Arabidopsis thaliana: one gene and its partners. The protein of the gene in region 3 interacts with the protein of the main gene of each other region in a pairwise test. Each region holds a gene or a part of one and is shown on either strand. Other genes may lie near its edges.

Region 1 (5,933 bases), on a different chromosome or scaffold from region 3:
AAGGTCATATTGAAAATGTCCAACCATTTCCTATAATAATCACATAGTAACGACAAACCAACCATGTTATATTTAATACAATATATATCTCATATTTTTGATGAAAAATAAATACAAAGGCATGTGGATGAACCCAAATTTCTAGTTGATTGGTCGGCAATGGAACATGGCGTTGTGCTGATGTGGGGTTACTCTTATAATTGACTATTTTTGTCACTTTTTTCCTTTTTTATTTTTCTCATTCGATTTCTCTTTGCATTATCCAAAGTGTTTTAAGAACATAGTAGACACTAATTCATTTGTTTTTTTTGGTTTTTCTTTATTAAAGTTATTAATGTACTTTTGAGTAATTTTATTGTCCGAAGTTTTATTCCGAAACTGATTGCTGACTTCACATCGCTCAATAATTTGCTATCATTATTGCTTGTCATCAATTATTATCATTTGCTATAGTATGTCAATGCTGAAAAGATTTTAAAACAACTTGCTAGAAACGAAAATTTTCAAGTAATCAGTAATAAAAAAAATTATAATCGTATTGCATTTTGAAGTTATTAGATTGAAGGGTATTATTGTACAAATAACCCCAAAAGAATTTGAAGAGGATCTCTTAAGTATACTTGTGTGTTGTTCTTGTTACACTGTAAAAGTCTTTATAATAGGAAACAATATGTATGTATACATGAAGAAACAGAATGTAATCAAGAATCAATGGCATCAACAGGAAGTGAAGTTGTTCTTTTCAGACACTTTGGTACCAATCTTTCTCCAAACATCTCTTTCACCGTATCTTCTTCTCTTCCTAACCCGGAAACCGAACCCAAGAACCCGTCTTTCGGAGAAATTTCCACCTCTTCTCCGGATTCCGGCCACCGGGTTTTTAGTTGTTCATCCTGAATATCTCTAAGCTCAATTTGGCATTTGGCTTTAAGCCATCTCAACTCTTGTTGGACCTGATTTTCGGTTTTTTCGGATGGCTCATCGCAGTATTTAGATGGCATAAACGAGAACGATCCAGAACCCGATATATGGTTTATCTCGTTACCTGCCTCGCAAGAAAACATGTTTTCGGGGTCTTCGTATAGCACCTCTTCTTCCTCCTCTTCTTCGGAATGGTTATGGCCTGAATCTATCGAGCTTAGCTCGCGGCTTTCTTGCTGTTGCTGCAGCTTCCATAGCTCTCTAAGACGAACCTCGGTTTCTCTGATCGTGATCTCTTCAAACCGACCATGAGTCTCACCGCACCCGTTTCTGCAACATTGTATCACATTTGCCCCAGGATTGGTTCTCAGGAAATCCATCACCGAGCCCATTGAGGTGCGGTTTGATACGCAGTTGTTGCAAATGCTCGCAGCATTTGCCGCCGCCGCAGCCGCAAGACATTCTTCGAATTCAGGTCCCGGTCTCCAACTAGGTACAAGAGAAGATATCTCACCGTCAATCATGTTGGCTATTTTTGTGACTCCATGATCGTCCATATCCAGTTCCGCTACCATCTCTGTTGCAACGCTCAATGCGGTGTCCGTCTCAATGTCAAATGGGAAGTAAATGTTTCGGACACGTCCTGCAACAAACCAGTCCATGAATCAAATGAAAGAAACTGCATTTTTTCCACTCTTCTTCATAGGTTATGAAACAAGGAAAAGATAAAGAGAATATTGTTACCTTCTTTGTCAGCGATCCTAAGACGCAAGAACAAGCCACCATCATCTCTCCTCTTCCCTTTGATGGTTATGTCAACATTACCAGATTTCTTTTCTTCTTCTTGATCATCATTGTTTCGAGATTCAAAGAGCTCGATGCCGTGAGTCTCCTCTGTCTCAGCTGGATTATACGCCCATCCATTCTGATACTCGTGATGACTATTATAACCATTTGAGTACTGACGATTCAATGAGCTACTATTCGACGGGTAGTTGCCATTTGAGTACTGACGATTCAAAGAGCTACTATTCGACGGGTAATTGTAGTAGTCAGGAAGATGGTGCGGCTGCCTATAGAGTGGCCCGACCGAATCTTCCATATCAACTGATCTTAAATCAAACTCACCATCGTCTATACGGAGAAAAGGGTCATCTAGTAACTCACGAGCAGAGACTCTAAGCGATACGGTGGCCAAGCATTTCTCAATGAAACATTTAACCTCGGGGTCTTTCACCTTGTACAATGCATCCGGTTTCTTGCCCTGAAACCGAACTTTTAGCCTTTTGAAACAGAAAGAGATGAAGCTTTTTTATCTTAGTGTTTTAGTAATCGGAGAGTCTCACCGACATAACTTTCTTGTAGATCTGAGCAGGATGAGTACACTCACTGTACGGGTAATCAAACGTAACCATCTCCAAAATACACATACCGAACGAGTATATATCAACCAATTCGTTATATGCTTCTTCGTAAACTTCAGGTGCCATGAACTCAGGAGTCCCTAACAAAAGATCAAAACTTTACACAATCAGAAACAAAGAAACTCAGCTAAAAAGCAGAAAGGATATGATTTGGATTTGCATATAGTACCGACGCAGTGAGCAGCATGGGACTTTCTTAAAATAGCAGCAAGGCCAAGATCTCCAATCTTGACCTCTCCTTGATTCCCGTTAACGAAAATGTTGTCACATTTGAGATCCCTGTGGATCACAGGAGGATCATGGCTGTGAAGATAATGTAAGCCTCTCAAGATTTGTCTGCACCAATGCTTCATAGCTCTTATGTTCACTCTCTTATGTCTGAGTCTATATCTGTATCCATAAATGAAGTTATCGTTAAAGATAAACTAAAACCAACGACAGAAAAGTATGTTTACAAGAGAATCTTACTGTCTTAAGGTGCCAGAAGTGAACAATTCAGTGACGAAATTGATATTTCGATTGGCGGTATCGACCCAAGAAGTGTAGAATTTCATGATGTTCTTATGTTTTAGAGTCTTGAGAAGATGAATCTCACAGTAAAGCCTCTCAAGATCCTCAGGGCTTTGTAGGAAATCATATAGCTTAACTTGGTTCCATGCTACTTCTATGCCTTCATATTCATCAAATGCTCTATAACTACAAAATCAAAAGAAAGAAAGAAGATTAATGTATGTATGAGCAAAGAAGTTTTTTTGTTTGCAGAATCTGAATTTGGTATAAGTCAAAGCAATAAAGAGATCCAAAAAAAGCAAAGTTGTTGGAAATTTCTCTTGTGGGGAATTAATGACCAAACTAGAAGTGATTCAATGAAGCAAAAAAAAACAAAAGCTCAACTTTTTTATTTCCTCTTTTAAAGGATTTGATTCAATCATGAATCCAAAACACACAAAAATCGTAAGGACAAATTTGTTGGATCACAAATGGGTTTTGACTGGGAAAACAAAAAGTTACAAACTTTATGAAGAAAGAACAACAGATTAGGCTTAAATCATCACCAGATCCAGAAGAAAAAAAAGCTGCAAACTTTGAGAGAAACATGAAGCAGAAAAAGAAGAGAAGAAGGGAGAGATTCTCACACAGTCTTTGAAGCTCCTTTACCAAGAACTTCATTGTACTGCAACAACAAGAACAATGAAGTCAACAAAAGATCAAACAAAATAATTGAGATTGATTGATTGATAGGAGGAAACATTACTCTTCCATATCTTCCAGTAGGATCAACTTCAACAAACTCAGAGTAATCTGGTTCAAGATAACTCAGATTGTTCATCTCTCTTTCAATCTCACAATTACGAACCAAATAAAAAAATCCCAAAAGGAAAAATAAGAATAGATCTACCAATACAAACGTCTCTCTTTTAATAAATGGGAGAGAGTTTAGGTTTCTTCTTATAGCAATTTCTGCATAATCATATTATTGTTTTTGTTCTTCTCTGACAAAAGGAGTTGAACAGGGCAATGAAACTCATGTAGTAGATAAGAACAGTATCTGTATAGACTCTCTCATTATTACATTCTAATAAATACTCAAACTCTATAGAGAGAGAGAGAAAAGGAGGATTTGAGCTTAGAAGACAGAGAAGCCAAGCTTTTCTCTCTTCAATAGTTCAATGGAAGTTTTTTTTTTTTGGTTGATGACAGAGAAATACAAGCACCTCGTGAGAGAAGACAAAGACGGTGTGCGTTTCTTTAGGGAACGGTGGTCCAAAAATGGGATATAAACTAAACAAATATCTATCCTTCATTTTTTTTCTTCTTCTTCTTATGGAACCTTTTTTTTGTTCCTTAAACCTTTTTACATACTTCTAAATAATTGCAACGGATTTTATTTTATACGGTATATATAATTAGTGTCCTCTATCGACAATTATTTATTGGAAATTATTCTGTGGTAGTATTAACAATTGTTCGGTGGAAAAGTAACTTGAATACTTGAAAATTATGATTGATTCATTTTAGTGATTATTCTATACAAATTCACAAGCTAGAGAAAACAAAAATGTTACTATTACTTTACCTTTCTTTTGTTTTGATTTTAGTTTTGTTTTGTTATACACAAAGATGATGCTTGCAAATAGTAATAATTCCATTAGCCGACGGAGTATTGTTGTGAAATAAATGTTGAACCTACCAAAATAATGAATCTCATCGAGATAACGTGCCGAAAAAAAATTCTCCCTACCGGCTAAACTGTGTGATATGATTAACAAATTACTACATTTAGAACCATATTCTGATAAAGGTTTAGTTTATGTCATTAAAAACTTCGACTGGTTTTCATTTCAATTAGAACAATCAACATTCAAAACAAATTATATATGAATATTGGGTTGCCTCGTGTGGATGTGATCGTGTCAGGTCTCAGCTATCTTAGAAAAGGAAATAGAAAGGTGCTCTCTCGTACGTATCTTTTGAGTGATGGGAATGATAGACTGTTCCATACGTTTATTCCATTGTGCGGATTGCATTTGTATTAGCGTATATGCCATCATCATTTCAACTATATAATTGATATTCTAGTATTTTGAAATGATCATCGTTCGTTTGAATAAATCAAAGGATATGATCATTGTTCTATGATTACGTTCATTGGTGGGGAATGGTATCATCCCCTAATGCACTACGAATTTGACCATATTTTAGGTAAAGTTACTTTTTTTTTTAGAAAGATTTTAGATATAAAGTTTTGAATATTGTTTGCTGACATGCTTTTTGTGTTGATTTTACATACTAAAATATTAGCTACAACATTTTTAATCTGAATTATAGTATCCGTCTTATATTTTGGTTTCATATACGCTATTGGAAAATTAATTTTTAGAAAAAGGTAAAAAAAAACTGGAACCAAAATTTTGATTAGACGACATTCATCTAAAAAGAAAATCATTATAACGAATCATTGCAATCGCTATAACATATACAACTACATCGTAACGACTAGTCTACTTCTTCTACCATCAAACAACAATGCTATATAACTAACTCATGTTTTCGTTTTTGTTACAAATAACTAACTAAATGTTACCAATAGAAGCTTGGAAATAAAAACACAAAATTTAAGAATTCTGAAATGGATTGGAGACAGCGAGACCATACATTAGCATGTCGACTAGATGTTCCAAAGGAGGCAACAAAGGTTAGTTTGGCCACGTGTTAAGTTAAAGTTGCTCGTGTTATCTATCTTGAGTCTTGACCATACATCATTTCATTTACACGACAATCCATCAACATAATTTACATATCGTACAGTGAACAGGAATCATGTGCAATATGACTAACTATAATCAAGTCTGATTTAATTCAGGGTATAAATATTTGATTTATCATAATATTTGGAAATAAACAGATTGATGGGGGCCAATCTTATATTAGAGAAAGAACACACATGTGCATGTGGGTGAATACAAAGACATGCACGATCAGCATAGCCTTTTAAACGAAAAAAAAAGAAGCAAATAAAGACTTGGTTGGTTGTGAATAATGAATCAGACCAACCACAAATCTTATCCATTTGGCCTTTTCCTCTCA
Region 2 (5,088 bases), about 15 Mb from region 3:
CCGATGAAAATAGAAAGCGACGCAATATTTTTTTATTGAAACGCCAAAATGCTAGATCGTTCTGGTTTAAAATGAGCTTTTGTGGATAAAGCCAAACCCAACTAATAAATACTCTACTATGGAGCTGGACATGTCGACCCAATAGCAGCTTTACTTGACTTTGAATTAGGCAAATCAGACTACATGGCGTTTCTCCGTGGCTTGGATTACAATGCATCTACTTGAAGCTCATCTATCACTTGCATTGACAAGACCGTACCTAGAAACTTTAAACTATCCTTCTATGTCAGCTAAATTGTCATTAAAACATAACACATATGTTTTTGTAAGATATCTAATAATAAGACAACAAATATGGCATCAACCATTTCATATATATATGTGCATGAGAGCTCTCATCATCTTACTTAGCTTTGTATCTAAGGAGGATCCGAGTTTTAACAGGCTATATCATGCATAGATAAAATGGTTATATTTGACTACTGTTTGTTCTGGTATAGATGGTTACATTTGAGTCATTTCACCATGAGGACTCTTTCTCTGTAACACAAACACACCCTTTGAACAACTTTATTAAACACATGTACTTTTTACATTTTTGAACCAGCAAACTTGTTTTTTACAGTATACTTATATATTACAGTAATTAAAATACTGGAGAAGCTAGCGCCTTGAGCTTGGTGGCTTCCGTGAAACCGCATAAGGTGACTGAAACCCAACTGTTTCTACGTCTCCAACAGTTTTGAACAATCTTCTTTTTCTAGCCTCTTCCCCTGGCGACCGGTGCAGTAACTGTCTCTGCACGTCTACAAGTGATCGGTTCCTTGTAAGTGTGCGGTTGTCTGAAGCCAAGCTTCTGTTAGTTGAACTGGAAGCTGCATACGCGTTGGCTTGTCCTGACTGTAGATGAGAGCTTTCTTCGGGGCAAAACCTCGTCATGTTGTGAGTTCTGCTCATAACAGGAGATTGGGAGCTGTACTCATCAACAGCTATGTAGTTGAGGTTGGAGTAAGACCCTGAATGGGAAGAACTCTGAGAATACGTCTCATCGTGTAAATCATCTGCAATTTTAATTTCTATCTCAAAAACTTTTATAAAAACAATTGTCACACTATGCACGTTGAGACTGGTGTTACTTTCCATACCTTGTACCCAATCTTGAAGGCCTCGAGCCATATAGTTCGAGAGTGAAGCTTGGGAAGATGACGCGTGCGAGGAAGAAGAGTGAAAAGAATCGGTACGATGACGATGATGATCATGAGGGGTTTCATCATCTTCCTCATACTTCCAATCAGACACCAAAGAAGAAATCGCTCCATCAATCATTTTAGCAATCTCGACTGGCTCCCAATCTATAATTTCGAGTTCTTTTACCATCTCCTTTGCAACATCAATGGAAGTATCATTCATGATGTCAAAGGGAAAGAATACATTATTGGCCAGACCTGGAAAGAAAAAAACAATTATGCGACCGAATAACAAAGTGACCAGCTTAATCAATTTAGTCCCATTTACCATTATCATATGCGATTTGTACTTCCAGATCGATTTTGTTATCTTCAGCGCCCAGCTTCCCAGCGATGGACATCTCGGTCCTTAACTCATCATCTTCCAACTTCAGTGTGTCCATTTCATTCTCGTTCAAGAAGGGCTTTGGATTCCCAGCACCGCTCGTGTATACCATCCAGGACTCATCGGAGGCAAGAAATGGATCTTGCAATAGTTCTTTTGCTGATACTCTCTTTGAGGCAGACACGAGGCATTTCCCGATGAACCTCTGTGCCTCGATGTCTCCAACTCTGTAAAATGCTCCTGGTAGCTTTCCCTGAAAAGAGAACATTAGAAGACTCATGCCTGGTTCATCTGACAGCTTCATTTATATGCTCACAGATTGTAAGACATACCCCAACAACTTTCTTGTAAATCTGTGCCGGATGGTTGCACTCACTATACGGGAACTCAGAGGTGATCATCTCCAAAAAGCACATACCAAAGGAATATACGTCAATGAGTTCATTATAGTTCTCCTCATATAATTCTGGTGCCATGAACTCAGGAGTGCCTATGCAAAAGAAACACAAAGAGGTCTAAGCATATGATTTGGACAAGAAGTGAAAACAAACGATTTTTGAGACATACCAATGATGCTATGGGCCGAGTGGCAGTCCCGCAGCATTCTTGCAAGACCAAGATCACCAATTTTGACTTGTCCAAGATGCCCATTCACAAAGATATTATCACACTTAAGGTCTCTATGGATAACAGGAGGGTCGTGCTCGTGGAGATAAACTAGCCCTTCCAAGATTTGCCGAGCCCAGGACTTGATTGCTCGGATATCTATCCGCAAGTACTTATTTTTGTATCTGCATATGAACGGGACAGGGTCATAAAAGACAAAAGCTGAATAATCTTGTCAGAAGAAGAGGTTTAAGCGAATTACTGTCGGAGGGTCCCTGAAGTGAACAACTCGGTGATGAAGTTGAGAGTGTGGTTATGAACATCGATCCAGGAAGTGTAGAAACGAATGATGGATTTGTGGTTGAGAGTGCTGAGGAGATGAACCTCGGAGTAAAGCCTCTGTAGATCAACAGAGGAACGCAGAACCTCCTTAAGCTTCACCTGGCTCCATGCTACTTCTATTCCCAGCTTCTCGTCGATTGCTTTGTACACTGTCTTCATCGCTCCCCTTCCAAGAATTTCTGCAAACTGTTCCAACATAAAAAACCAAGTGTTACAACAAGGTTTTGATCCATGAACATAGAATCTGTCTCCTTACTTACACGTCCATAGCGACCAGTTGGATCAGTTTCCACATACTCTGCAACTTGATTCATATTCATGGTTGACCAAAAACCGATTGATGATCCCAAAAATGTTTAAGAGGACACAGACTTTCGTTTTTATAACAGAGAAATTTTCCGGTGGCCAAAAGTCGTCCTGTTTACTTCTTCGTGCTACTTCATTAAAGAAGCGTCAGCAGAAAATATGTTGAACAGTCGTTGGCGTCAATCACCCATTTGGGATAAAAAGAATAAAGACAATTTGCCTTAACCTTGCTTGCATCACATATATTATAGAAAATCATATATTTATTTTTATTGACCCAATTGTAAATCTAAAAATCGAAAGTTTGACAAATCTTACTTGCCAATACAAGATACTCAAACCACAAAAATGAAAAAAAAATCATCAAACGTGTACCACATTGAAAACACATGGCTAAATATGCTCAAAAGATGCCCTTGTTTATTTTGTGAACCACAAACACAATTGCAAAGAGGATAAGAGTTAAGAAAGTGTGGATACTGGGAAATGCGATATTCAGGAAAGAGTTTTGTTTCTTGAGGAAACTGCACAATTTTCAATTGAACCAATTATTAGTTTGGTGAACACAAGCAATCCAAAATAAATAGATTGAGGTTAACAAAAATAAAACGACAAAGAAAAGGGGAAAAGTCAGAACAGAAGTGGGGAACATGACAAGAAGTTGTAGAGAATAGAGTGATAGTGACATCACCGTTGAAAATTGTTTTGTTTTTGTTGGCGGCCAGTTCCTGCAGCCCTCAAGGAGTTCACGGTTCTGTAATAAACTAATAACACGTAACAAATATGCATTCACCAATAAAGTATGTGCATGAGAGCTCCCATCATATTACTTCGCTTTTTATCTAAGGAGGGTCTGAATGTTAACAGGCAATATCTAAGGAGGGTCCGAATGTTTGACAGGCAATATCATAGATCAAAATGGTTATGCATTTTTTGACTACTGTTTTGTTCTGGTTTAGATGTTAGTTGACACGTGGAAAAGGAGAGAGGGAAGCATGGTAGGAATTAGGAAATGAAGATAAGGATGGAATATATCTAAAACAAGAAAAGCCGTATAAGTTTGACACTGACTGACTACAGAGGTTGCAGCCAGAATTTTTCCCACAAGCATATAATTATATTCTGCTCATTCATCATTATCATTCACCACACAACATGGGAATGGCCCTTTCTCCACCATGTTCTCCACAGTTGATATATCACAATACACAAAGGTAAATAACTCTACAGCATTTTAAAACATATAGCACAAGATTCACAAAAGATGTTACCTCTACCCACCGACTAAGTTCCTCCATTTATCTTTCAAATCCACCTACCAAGTTACAACATTTACATCACTCACACTTGGCATATATCTTGTTCAAGTAAATGGTGAGTATGAATGTTAATAAGGAAATGTTCACCTCTGTCCTCTCCGCAAATACTGTAGGGTTTCCATTCTTTATATCTTTCCATGATTTACCATACCTGCACAACAACAACAACAAAATGAGCCAGTGGTATAATCTTAATGAGGTCCAAGATGTATCACTATTGAATATTGATAATAGAGTACGGGACTAGGCAAAGAGTGTTTGCATACTCTTTTACTCCTTCCCTCAGAGCTTCCACTTCTTCTGGCTTCCAGAATTTCTTTGGTCTCCTGACATGTGGTTTCGCCAATCCGCCTTTCTTTAATGGAGATACACTCAGAGTTACAGGGGTTGGTCGACGAGGCCGAACTCTGCTAGACCATGTTTCCTGACTATCCGAACCTTTCTCATTTACATTATCCTGTTTTCACAATTAAACCACAAATTCATGAACCAAAGAACAAGATTTTTAGAAAGCATCTTGAGGGAAAATTGACTAACACTCACCGATGCTTCGTTATGGTCTTGACAGCCTGTTCCAGTCCTATTCACCCGAGTAGGCGGAGGAGTGACATCTACTGAGTGATCAATTGCACTGTTAGGTTCTTCCCCTTGCCTAGTGGAAGGGTCGATGTGTCCTTGAATCTCTACTAAATATTCCTTCAGCTCTCGAGCAGCCATTTCGTCTCCCTTATCAAGACTTGGCTCATGTTCCTGATCTTGTGCACTCACTGTGTGCTCCTCGTCTGCTGCATTCACATTATCAATCCCATCATTCTCCAGACATTCCATTCCTTCACCATCATTAGCGTTGTCTCTACCAATCCCATTCCCGTCCTCCCTTTCACCACGCGCCTCGTTGGCGATATCAATAGTATCACTCCCAAAACGTCTCGTGCTTTCATCA
Region 3 (4,555 bases):
GTGCTAGTACAAGGAACTAAACCACCTGGCTTATTATTAACCATTTTCTTCATTTGTTTGATTGATCATTACACTAATTGTCCTTTTTTATTACCTAGTAGTTTACTAAGTTTGATTAAGAGAAGAAAACCATAGGGTCCAGTCAATAAAAAAGAAAGTCATAGCGTAGGACAAGACTCTTGTTACAAGAGAGCGAGTAGGAGAGATATATTACACTCGCGGGCGCGTAAAGAGACAAGGAAAAAAGAAGATATTTAGTCTCTGACAGTGACAGCTACCATTTAAAGGTGAAAGACTGTGTCAGATAATAACCATACACGTGTCATATTCCTATCCACCAAAGAACCACGAGGTTTTTAAACAAGTGTCTCTAATCTAATCCCACCCAACAACAAAATATCTAGCCGCGGAAAATTACTTTAAAATTCATCACCCTTTGTCCCTACTCTTGACTCGTGCATGTTCCATTTGATTTATTCCACCACGCAACCAAAATAGTAGCAATAGAAAAAACCAAAATGTTGATAAAAATTTGGTAAACTATGAATCTCTATGATCGATATTCATTTGTTTGATTGTTCCATTTCTTTTCTAATGCAAATCAATATTAAAGTGTTCTTATTTCGTGACTAAAATATATGGCTGGCCGAAAAAATATAAAATAATATATGACATTTGCTATTAGTTAGCACCAGTGATCATTTGGTGTAAGCAAATGTTTTTTGTGCCAAAAAATAATATTGAAATATATGTATAATTAATTCATTAACAAAAAGTTCTTATTTGTTATTTCAGAAAATAAATTATACCATGTGTCCTTGATTTTCTTATGTGAAAAAAAATTGAAATATCCTTATTGTTTTTAAAATAAACAAATTGCAAACCTATGTACCAAACAGAAAATAATACAATTGTTTTTGGATAAATTTGTATAGATACTTTTTCCCACTAGCATTAGATATTTTTTGGGTTTGGTATTATCCCAAAAGTCACGAGTGGGATTTTTATAGGTACTCAAAAGCTAAAATGTCTGAACAATAATATAAAATACATTTTAAAATAAAAGTAAAATTTAGAAGCATCAAATAAGTAATAGTTTCAATGTTTAGTGTTGATCTCTTATTAAAAGAAAAATAAACAAGAAATTCACTAAATATTTCTCCATCACAAATACATAAACATCAATTGCAATAAATATTTTGGTAAAGTATAATAAAAAATTAAATCCAACTTTAAATATGAACCACATAGAAAAACCAAAGGCTAGCCACCACACCAATTTTTTCTTAAAAGAAGGTTATTTGGCGTATTGGATCTCTTTTGTCTCGTATACAGTATTTTGCTGATGTGGCAAACGTGGCCACGTCAGCCAATTCTACTAGATATTTTTTCAAATCCAAATACTCTTTCCACAACCGTTAGATCATGGTCGGTTCGCCACCCACTTTCAATCATAACCGTTAAAACATTCGCTAGATTTTTTCTAGATATTTTCTTTTCTCCACACTATTATAGAAAGAATAAAGTTCTTTTTTTTGCTCTCTTCTCATTTATCTCTCCACTCACAAATATTTTGATTTGTTTTGTAACTGTTTCTCTTTCTCTGGAGCTTTCTTCTTCTTCTTCAATAATCGATTTAGGTTTTTCAAAGCTAAGTGTTTGTGTTGTGATAATGACTAGTAGCGAGGAAGTAGTTGAAGTGACGGTGGTTAAAGCACCTGAAGCTGGCGGAGGAAAGTTATCACGTCGGAAGATTCGGAAGAAAGACGCCGGTGTTGATGGTTTGGTGAAGTGGGAGAGATTTCTCCCGAAAATCGCGCTTAGAGTTTTGCTCGTTGAAGCTGATGATTCTACTAGACAGATTATCGCTGCTCTTCTCAGGAAATGTAGTTACAGAGGTTAGTTTCTGGTTTCAATGCTTGAGATTTAGGTTTTGTTTGTATAGAATCTGAGAATTATGAATTCGATTGAGATGCTAATGTTTTGAATCTGATTCGCGTGCGGCTAAATGTTACAATTCAAAGTCAAATTTAGAAAAGTCAACGATTTTTTTGTCGGTTTTGTGTTCATATAGAAATCTTTATCAACGCTTAGTTTCTACAACAAGCTAAAAGGATTTGTATTAATGTGGTTTGGTTTTGTGTATTGATCAGTTGCTGCAGTACCTGATGGCTTAAAAGCTTGGGAGATGCTAAAAGGAAAGCCTGAAAGTGTTGATTTGATATTAACAGAGGTTGATCTACCTTCAATATCTGGATATGCTCTGCTAACACTTATCATGGAGCATGATATTTGCAAGAACATTCCTGTTATAAGTACGTTGATATATACATCTTTTTCTTCCATCGTTTTGAAATGATTTTTTGGCTCATTATGTATTGTTTTTTTTTCCAGTGATGTCGACACAGGACTCGGTGAATACTGTGTATAAGTGTATGTTGAAAGGTGCGGCTGATTATCTTGTTAAGCCGTTGAGGAGGAATGAGCTTAGAAATCTTTGGCAGCATGTCTGGAGAAGACAAACTGTATGTTTCATATCCATCTTTTGTTTTAAGCTTTATGTGTGATGAATTATCTCTACAACTTAAACCCGTTCTTATATAAGTTCTGGGAAATTTCGTTGTCTTGAAAAGATGATTGAGTTCTCAGATTTGTTTTTGGTTTTGATTATCTTTTACAGTCACTTGCTCCTGATAGCTTTCCATGGAATGAGAGTGTTGGACAGCAGAAAGCCGAGGGTGCGTCTGCAAACAACTCGAACGGAAAGAGAGACGATCATGTTGTGAGTGGGAATGGTGGTGATGCCCAGAGCTCGTGTACAAGACCAGAGATGGAAGGTGAGAGCGCAGACGTGGAGGTTAGTGCGAGAGACGCAGTACAGATGGAGTGCGCAAAGTCTCAGTTTAATGAGACACGGCTTCTAGCAAATGAGTTGCAGAGTAAGCAAGCAGAAGCCATTGACTTCATGGGAGCATCGTTTAGAAGAACTGGACGACGTAACAGAGAAGAAAGTGTTGCTCAATACGAATCTCGGATAGAGCTTGATCTTTCTCTGAGAAGACCTAATGCTTCTGAGAACCAATCTTCTGGAGACCGGCCTTCTCTTCATCCTTCTAGTGCCTCAGCTTTCACACGGTGAGTTGTCTAATTTCTCAATTCTTCTTTCTATTAATCGTTCAATAGTTGTCGTTCTTTCTGCTGATTGTGTGTGTTATGTTCTTGTTGCAGGTACGTTCACAGGCCGTTGCAGACACAATGTTCAGCCTCCCCAGTGGTTACTGATCAAAGAAAGAATGTTGCAGCAAGTCAAGATGATAACATTGTGCTAATGAACCAATACAATACATCTGAACCGCCTCCAAATGCTCCAAGAAGAAACGACACCAGCTTTTACACTGGAGCTGACTCACCTGGTCCACCGTTTAGTAATCAGCTGAATTCTTGGCCGGGACAGAGTTCATACCCTACGCCAACCCCTATCAACAATATACAGTTCAGAGATCCCAACACAGCTTATACATCTGCAATGGCTCCTGCTTCACTCTCCCCAAGCCCTAGTTCCGTTAGCCCGCATGAGTACAGTTCCATGTTTCACCCATTCAACAGTAAACCCGAGGGGTTACAAGACCGGGATTGTTCCATGGATGTAGATGAGAGGAGATACGTCTCTTCTGCAACCGAACATAGTGCAATAGGCAATCACATTGATCAGCTTATTGAGAAGAAGAACGAAGATGGCTATTCATTATCCGTCGGGAAAATTCAGCAATCTCTTCAACGAGAAGCCGCTTTAACCAAATTCCGAATGAAGCGAAAGGACAGATGTTATGAGAAAAAGGTAAAAACTTAACTTCGATGGTTCCATCACATAGATGAACTCATAACGTAATGATACTAAAGGAACCTTTGAATGACTTAACAGGTTCGTTACGAGAGCCGGAAGAAATTAGCAGAGCAACGACCACGAATCAAAGGCCAATTCGTTCGTCAAGTCCAATCCACACAAGCTCCATAGTGATCCAACAAATTGATATATTATATACAGTTCAATTTTGTATCATCAACTAGAGGAATTTTGTTTTCTCCGATGCAGGAGCTGTTCTTTGTACAACTAATTCCACATACGTTAGATTTGGTGACACATTTGTGTGTACATACACATCTTTCGAGCTTGTTGTTGAGTTTTAGTTAGAATCTACGTTAGATCTGTAACTACATACATTTGGATTACGTTTCTGTAACTTGCAAGACGAATTAGAAAGATTGACAAAATCTCAGCTAAACAAATTTCAGCACAAAACAATGAACTCGAAGAAGATAAGCTATAGTGAGATCAAAACTTCTGGAGAATAGTATCCACTAACACAAAAATAGCCAAACGAAGAAGATGATTATGAACATATATAAATGTGTATATGTATCTCTACATGGCTCTCTGATTATTCATGTATCAAAAGCAAGATTGATAAAATTTGTGAAAAGCTTTGTTTTGAGATTTTTTTTAAGATCGAATCGAATCAGGACTAACCCATTTCCAGTAATGTCGTTTCACAGT
Region 4 (4,837 bases), on a different chromosome or scaffold from region 3:
TATTAAAGTTAATAGAGTATGGTGTAATACCACTTGACTAAAAAAATACTACTAGATTATTAAAATTGCAAACGATTTGTACTAATTCTTGAATTAAATTGTGCGTGTTTTTTCCATGAAGTTCTAGTGATGTGATGTGGGATTGACATAGTGTAAGTTATTAAAATAGGGGTTTGGATTTCTTTATCAATATGATTTGTTAGGTGGAAAAGAAATGTATAGGTTTTAAAATAGTTTTCATTCTTCCTTAAATATCATTATCCCGGAAATTTAGTTATTTCTACTTTAAAATAGTTTGTTTAATTTTTAGATATTTGCTTGGATTATGTGCTTACTTTGATAATTGTTTTGCATTGTCTCCAAAATAAAATTTGTTTTTATATTTTTATTAGGCTAGTACATGTTATGGTTAAAAATAGAAAAATATCATAAAAACTGCTAAATTTAGACATTTTCTCATATAAAATTTTTATTTTTTTTGTTCTATATAAAATCCCAAACTTTTCAAATTTGAACCCGAGCAATGGCTGACTAAGACCTATACGATAATTTAGTTAAAAAGGTCGTTGACGACATATTTTTCATTTGATTAATTTTTGAAATTCACACATAATAGTTACAATTTTTCTAATTTCTAAGATTCATAGTATAAGTTTTTATCGTAATAAAGATATTTTTTTGGTAAATAACAATTAACATTGTTATGATACGGACAGTATATATATTTCCATGTAGCATTTTTTTATAAAAAAATTTCATTAACATAAGCAAACTTTAAACACATAAACAAAATATAAATAATTTACTCACATATCTAAAATTAAAAGACCTCAAACCAAATAGATAATAAAAAAACAGAGGAAGGATTCGAGCTTTATGCTCAAGAGAGAGGGTCGAGTTTACTCTGCAAAATGTTCTGAATATACAATATTAATCATGTCGGAGAACAAAAAGACTAAGAGTGTAGGCGAGACCGCGAGAGTTCCTTTTTTAAAGCAAGTAGATAAAAACTTGGAAAACTAGCTTGAGAATGAGAGATATGTTTATATTGCGGTATGAATCTTTTATCTATCTAAATCTATGTTCCGAAGGAATTGGTGGAAAACCATGAGCTTTACATGTAAAGAATGATAGACCAAACCTATTTTGAAAACATAAAACATGTAGCATTTTTTATGATCGAAACATATCATAGAGTAGATTATTGAGTATTAATCGAATTCTATTTCTATGAACAAACTAAAATCCTAAGGACACTTGGACAAAGTGAATTGTTTTTTTGTTTGTTCTCCTCTCCTACATAAATATACATGTGACATGAGATAATATGATTTCTCATATTCACGCATTGATTTGTTTCTAACATTTCTATAGCATTTATGTTCACAACTTCTTGATATAATAGCTGCCAAAAAAAACTTCTTTAAATATTTTCTTGTGTTTTTATTGCCAAAAACAAACGAAAATATCAAATAATTTTTCTCACCTGAAATCAAATTACTGAGGATGATAATTTAATACAGATATTTTGTAGAGGACCGTGGCAATTCCGTGAATAAGTAATGTAATGAAGGGCAAAAATGGAAATAAAATCAAAGTTTATGCCCAATATCTCTCTCCCCATCTGATGATCACTCCTTTAAAATCACCATCAAAGAAATTCCAATTTTCTCGGATTTTTATTTCTTATATACAAATCCCTAAAACCCTATAGCCCTCTTTCTTCGTCACCTACTACTACTAACTCCAAGCTCAAGCTCCTCTGTTTCTTCTGTAAGTCTCAATTTATCTCATCGAATTTTCCGAGAAACAAACAAAAACCAATCTTTTTCATAGAAAGAATCTGAATTTCGTGTTTATACTTAATTCTGATTCCAAAAAAACAATTCTAGATCTAAGATTTTTATTTCTTGATGAGAATTTCACTGTAGAAAGAAGTGTATTTGTTCCTTTAATTTGCTTTAAAATTTTGGTTTCATATAATCTCAAAGCCAAGAGCTTGACACCTGTGATCTGCATAGAATCCAGAACACATCAATAATGATTCCTTTTTAAGAATTTTTAAATTGATTTAATCTTCTTGTTGGTTACTATGAAACAACTCTTTTTCTTTCATAATTAGAAACACCAAAATCTTTATATAGAGAAGAAAAGCTTAAAACTCGATTTCTGCATTTTTTGTCTTCTTACTCTTTAAAGCCCTCCATTGATAATCGCTTCAGCCGAAAGCAGTTGATTCAGCTTAATTATTTATCATAGCTTCTGATTCTTCTTCTAGCTCCTTCTTCTTTAATCACGATCATTAACTTTAAACCCGTTTTATCAATTGTTGTGATATGTCAGATCTACAATGAGTAGAGCATAAATTCGAATCAGAATAACTGATATCTTAATTATGTGTATATATGAATGAAAGTCATCTGTAGAAAAAGTCGATAAGGATGTAACATATATATATATATATATAAGCATTTATGTATATATATATGTGTAAAGATTTGTTCTTATGAGATTGTTTCTTTGTTTTTGTTATTGCAGGCTTGTGGTTAAAAATCATTTCAGACACAGTGCTTTTGATGACTCTCTGCAACAAACAACAGCAGCTGCAGACAAAGCTTATACGAAGCTGTATCTACTGACTTTGATGGTGAAATATCAAAAACCCTAAATTAATTTTAAAAAAAAACACATTTTTTTTCTTCTTTTGGTTTTTCCTCTGAGGGTATTCATCATCAATGCTTACAAAGTACAGTGGGTAAACAAAACAAAAACAAAAACCCATTTTTTTCTCCTTCTTTAAATCCCAAACCAACCCTAAAGTTTTGATTTTTAATTTTGGGGGTAACCAAAAAAAAACAAAACCCTAATTTTTTTTCTTTAGTGATGAGATTATTGGTGATGATGAAATGATTGGAGATCTAATGAAGAATAACAACAATGGCGACGTTGTGGATAACGAAGTGAACAACCGGTTAAGCCGGTGGCATCACAATTCTTCCCGGATAATTAGGGTTTCACGAGCTTCCGGTGGTAAAGATCGACACAGCAAAGTCTTGACTTCTAAAGGACCACGTGACCGTCGTGTCCGGTTATCAGTCTCCACCGCTCTTCAATTCTATGATCTTCAAGATCGGTTAGGTTATGATCAACCTAGCAAAGCTGTTGAATGGTTAATCAAAGCTGCTGAAGATTCAATCTCTGAGCTTCCTTCACTCAACAACACTCATTTTCCGACCGATGACGAGAATCACCAGAATCAGACATTAACAACAGTTGCTGCTAATTCCTTGTCTAAATCTGCTTGTAGTAGCAATTCAGACACGAGCAAGAACTCTTCTGGTTTGTCTTTATCAAGATCGGAGCTTAGAGATAAAGCTAGAGAGAGGGCTAGAGAGAGAACAGCTAAAGAGACCAAGGAAAGAGATCATAACCACACTTCGTTTACGGATTTGTTAAATTCCGGTTCAGATCCGGTTAACTCAAACCGGCAATGGATGGCTTCAGCTCCTTCTTCATCTCCAATGGAGTATTTCAGTTCGGGTTTAATTCTCGGGTCGGGTCAACAAACCCATTTCCCTATTTCAACAAATTCTCATCCTTTCTCATCAATCTCCGATCATCATCATCATCATCCTCATCATCAGCATCAAGAGTTTTCATTCGTTCCCGACCATTTGATATCACCGGCAGAATCCAACGGCGGAGCATTCAATCTTGATTTTAATATGTCAACACCCTCCGGCGCCGGAGCTGCCGTCTCCGCCGCATCAGGTGGTGGCTTCAGTGGTTTCAACAGGGGGACCCTTCAGTCCAATTCAACAAATCAGCATCAGTCATTCCTCGCTAATCTACAGAGGTTTCCAACATCAGAAAGTGGAGGAGGTCCACAGTTCTTATTCGGTGCACTGCCTGCAGAGAATCACCACCACAATCACCAGTTTCAGCTTTACTATGAAAATGGATGCAGAAACTCATCAGAACATAAGGGTAAAGGCAAGAACTGATGATATTAATTATTGCATCTTTGGTTTTGTTCAAATGCTCATTTTGTATGTTTATCTTTGGTTTATTTCAAAACAAATGTTAATCTCTTTCGTTGTCTGATGTGTGTTAGGGTTTTGTTTTATGTATTGAGGGTCTTTGGAAATCTTTTTGCATTGTGCTTGTAATGTTGTATTTGTGATAATAGCATTTTGTTTGTGAGTTTATAATTGAATTTTTGAATGTTATTTTTGCCATGTAATTGGTATAGTTAGCATTTTTTTTTTCTTTAGTAAATTGTTTATAGTACGAAGATACTGTTTCTTGGTATTCATGAACAAATGGTAGGTCAAGGCAATAGGGCGATCCTTTTAAGGTACTAGATTGAATCAAATCAAATACTCAGAAGAATTAAATACAGAAATTAAGAATTTTCCCAAAAAAATAAAAAATACAGAAATTAAGTGAAGAGACAAAAAAAAACTTGTAAATAAAAATAGAAAGAAAGAAAATATACATAATAATCAGGGAAATAAATAATTTTGATAGACAAAACTGAAAAATTGAGGGTAAGGCCATTATGCATTGAAGAGAGTGAAAATCAAAATGAATTGTCTCCTGTTGTGCTCTATGTTTGGTTCCCTTCTTCCTTAGCATCATCTCTCTCCATATGTATTGTTTTTATAATCTATCTATCTTATGAATATATCTTCTTCATTTGACAGCTGTTGTCTTCAACAATGGCTATTCCCAAATTTTCATGATTTTATTTCTTATGATCTGTTTATATTATTATAAGTTTTTTTAACTTTTTCTTTCATGGGCTACTTGATCTTCTGCACCCACATGGCTAACC

Evidence for each region.
Region 1: the proteins of PRR5 (region 3) and WNK1 interact in a two-hybrid assay, tested with the Arabidopsis thaliana proteins (2 studies listed by BioGRID).
Region 2: the proteins of PRR5 (region 3) and WNK4 interact in a two-hybrid assay, tested with the Arabidopsis thaliana proteins (one study listed by BioGRID).
Region 4: the proteins of PRR5 (region 3) and TCP2 interact in a two-hybrid assay, tested with the Arabidopsis thaliana proteins (2 studies listed by BioGRID).

Annotation. Positions count from the first base shown.
Region 1 is NC_003074.8:1,352,826-1,358,758, reverse strand, and holds WNK1 (with no lysine (K) kinase 1), read right to left. Parts: upstream 4,224-5,933; 5' UTR 3,676-4,223; coding exon 3,601-3,675; intron 3,520-3,600; coding exon 3,482-3,519; intron 3,042-3,481; coding exon 2,814-3,041; exon of another isoform or gene 2,736-2,813; coding exon 2,515-2,735; intron 2,426-2,514; coding exon 2,268-2,425; intron 2,186-2,267; coding exon 1,666-2,185; intron 1,565-1,665; coding exon 702-1,564; 3' UTR 524-701; downstream 1-523. UniProt on the Arabidopsis thaliana protein: Regulates flowering time by modulating the photoperiod pathway. Phosphorylates APRR3.
Region 2 is NC_003076.8:23,583,257-23,588,344, reverse strand, and holds WNK4 (with no lysine (K) kinase 4), read right to left. Parts: upstream 3,557-5,088; 5' UTR 2,841-3,556; coding exon 2,781-2,840; intron 2,707-2,780; coding exon 2,441-2,706; intron 2,364-2,440; coding exon 2,140-2,363; intron 2,063-2,139; coding exon 1,905-2,062; intron 1,826-1,904; coding exon 1,516-1,825; intron 1,446-1,515; coding exon 1,146-1,445; intron 1,062-1,145; coding exon 664-1,061; 3' UTR 544-663; downstream 1-543. Other genes in the region: AT5G58340 (myb-like HTH transcriptional regulator family protein), read right to left, coding at 4,100-4,141, 4,233-4,296, 4,412-4,602, 4,689-5,088. UniProt on the Arabidopsis thaliana protein: May regulate flowering time by modulating the photoperiod pathway.
Region 3 is NC_003076.8:8,355,664-8,360,218, reverse strand, and holds PRR5 (two-component response regulator-like protein), read left to right. Parts: upstream 1-1,672; coding exon 1,673-1,898; intron 1,899-2,153; coding exon 2,154-2,315; intron 2,316-2,394; coding exon 2,395-2,525; intron 2,526-2,680; coding exon 2,681-3,135; intron 3,136-3,228; coding exon 3,229-3,838; intron 3,839-3,922; coding exon 3,923-4,015; downstream 4,016-4,555. Other genes in the region: AT5G24460 (RING-H2 zinc finger protein), read right to left, coding at 4,502-4,555. UniProt on the Arabidopsis thaliana protein: Transcriptional repressor of CCA1 and LHY, thereby controlling photoperiodic flowering response. Involved in the positive and negative feedback loops of the circadian clock. With RVE8, forms a negative feedback loop of the circadian clock.
Region 4 is NC_003075.7:10,162,379-10,167,215, reverse strand, and holds TCP2 (TEOSINTE BRANCHED 1, cycloidea and PCF transcription factor 2), read left to right. Parts: upstream 1-1,632; 5' UTR 1,633-1,773; intron 1,774-2,538; 5' UTR 2,539-2,906; coding exon 2,907-4,004; 3' UTR 4,005-4,294; downstream 4,295-4,837. UniProt on the Arabidopsis thaliana protein: Plays a pivotal role in the control of morphogenesis of shoot organs by negatively regulating the expression of boundary-specific genes such as CUC genes, probably through the induction of miRNA (e.g. miR164). Participates in ovule development.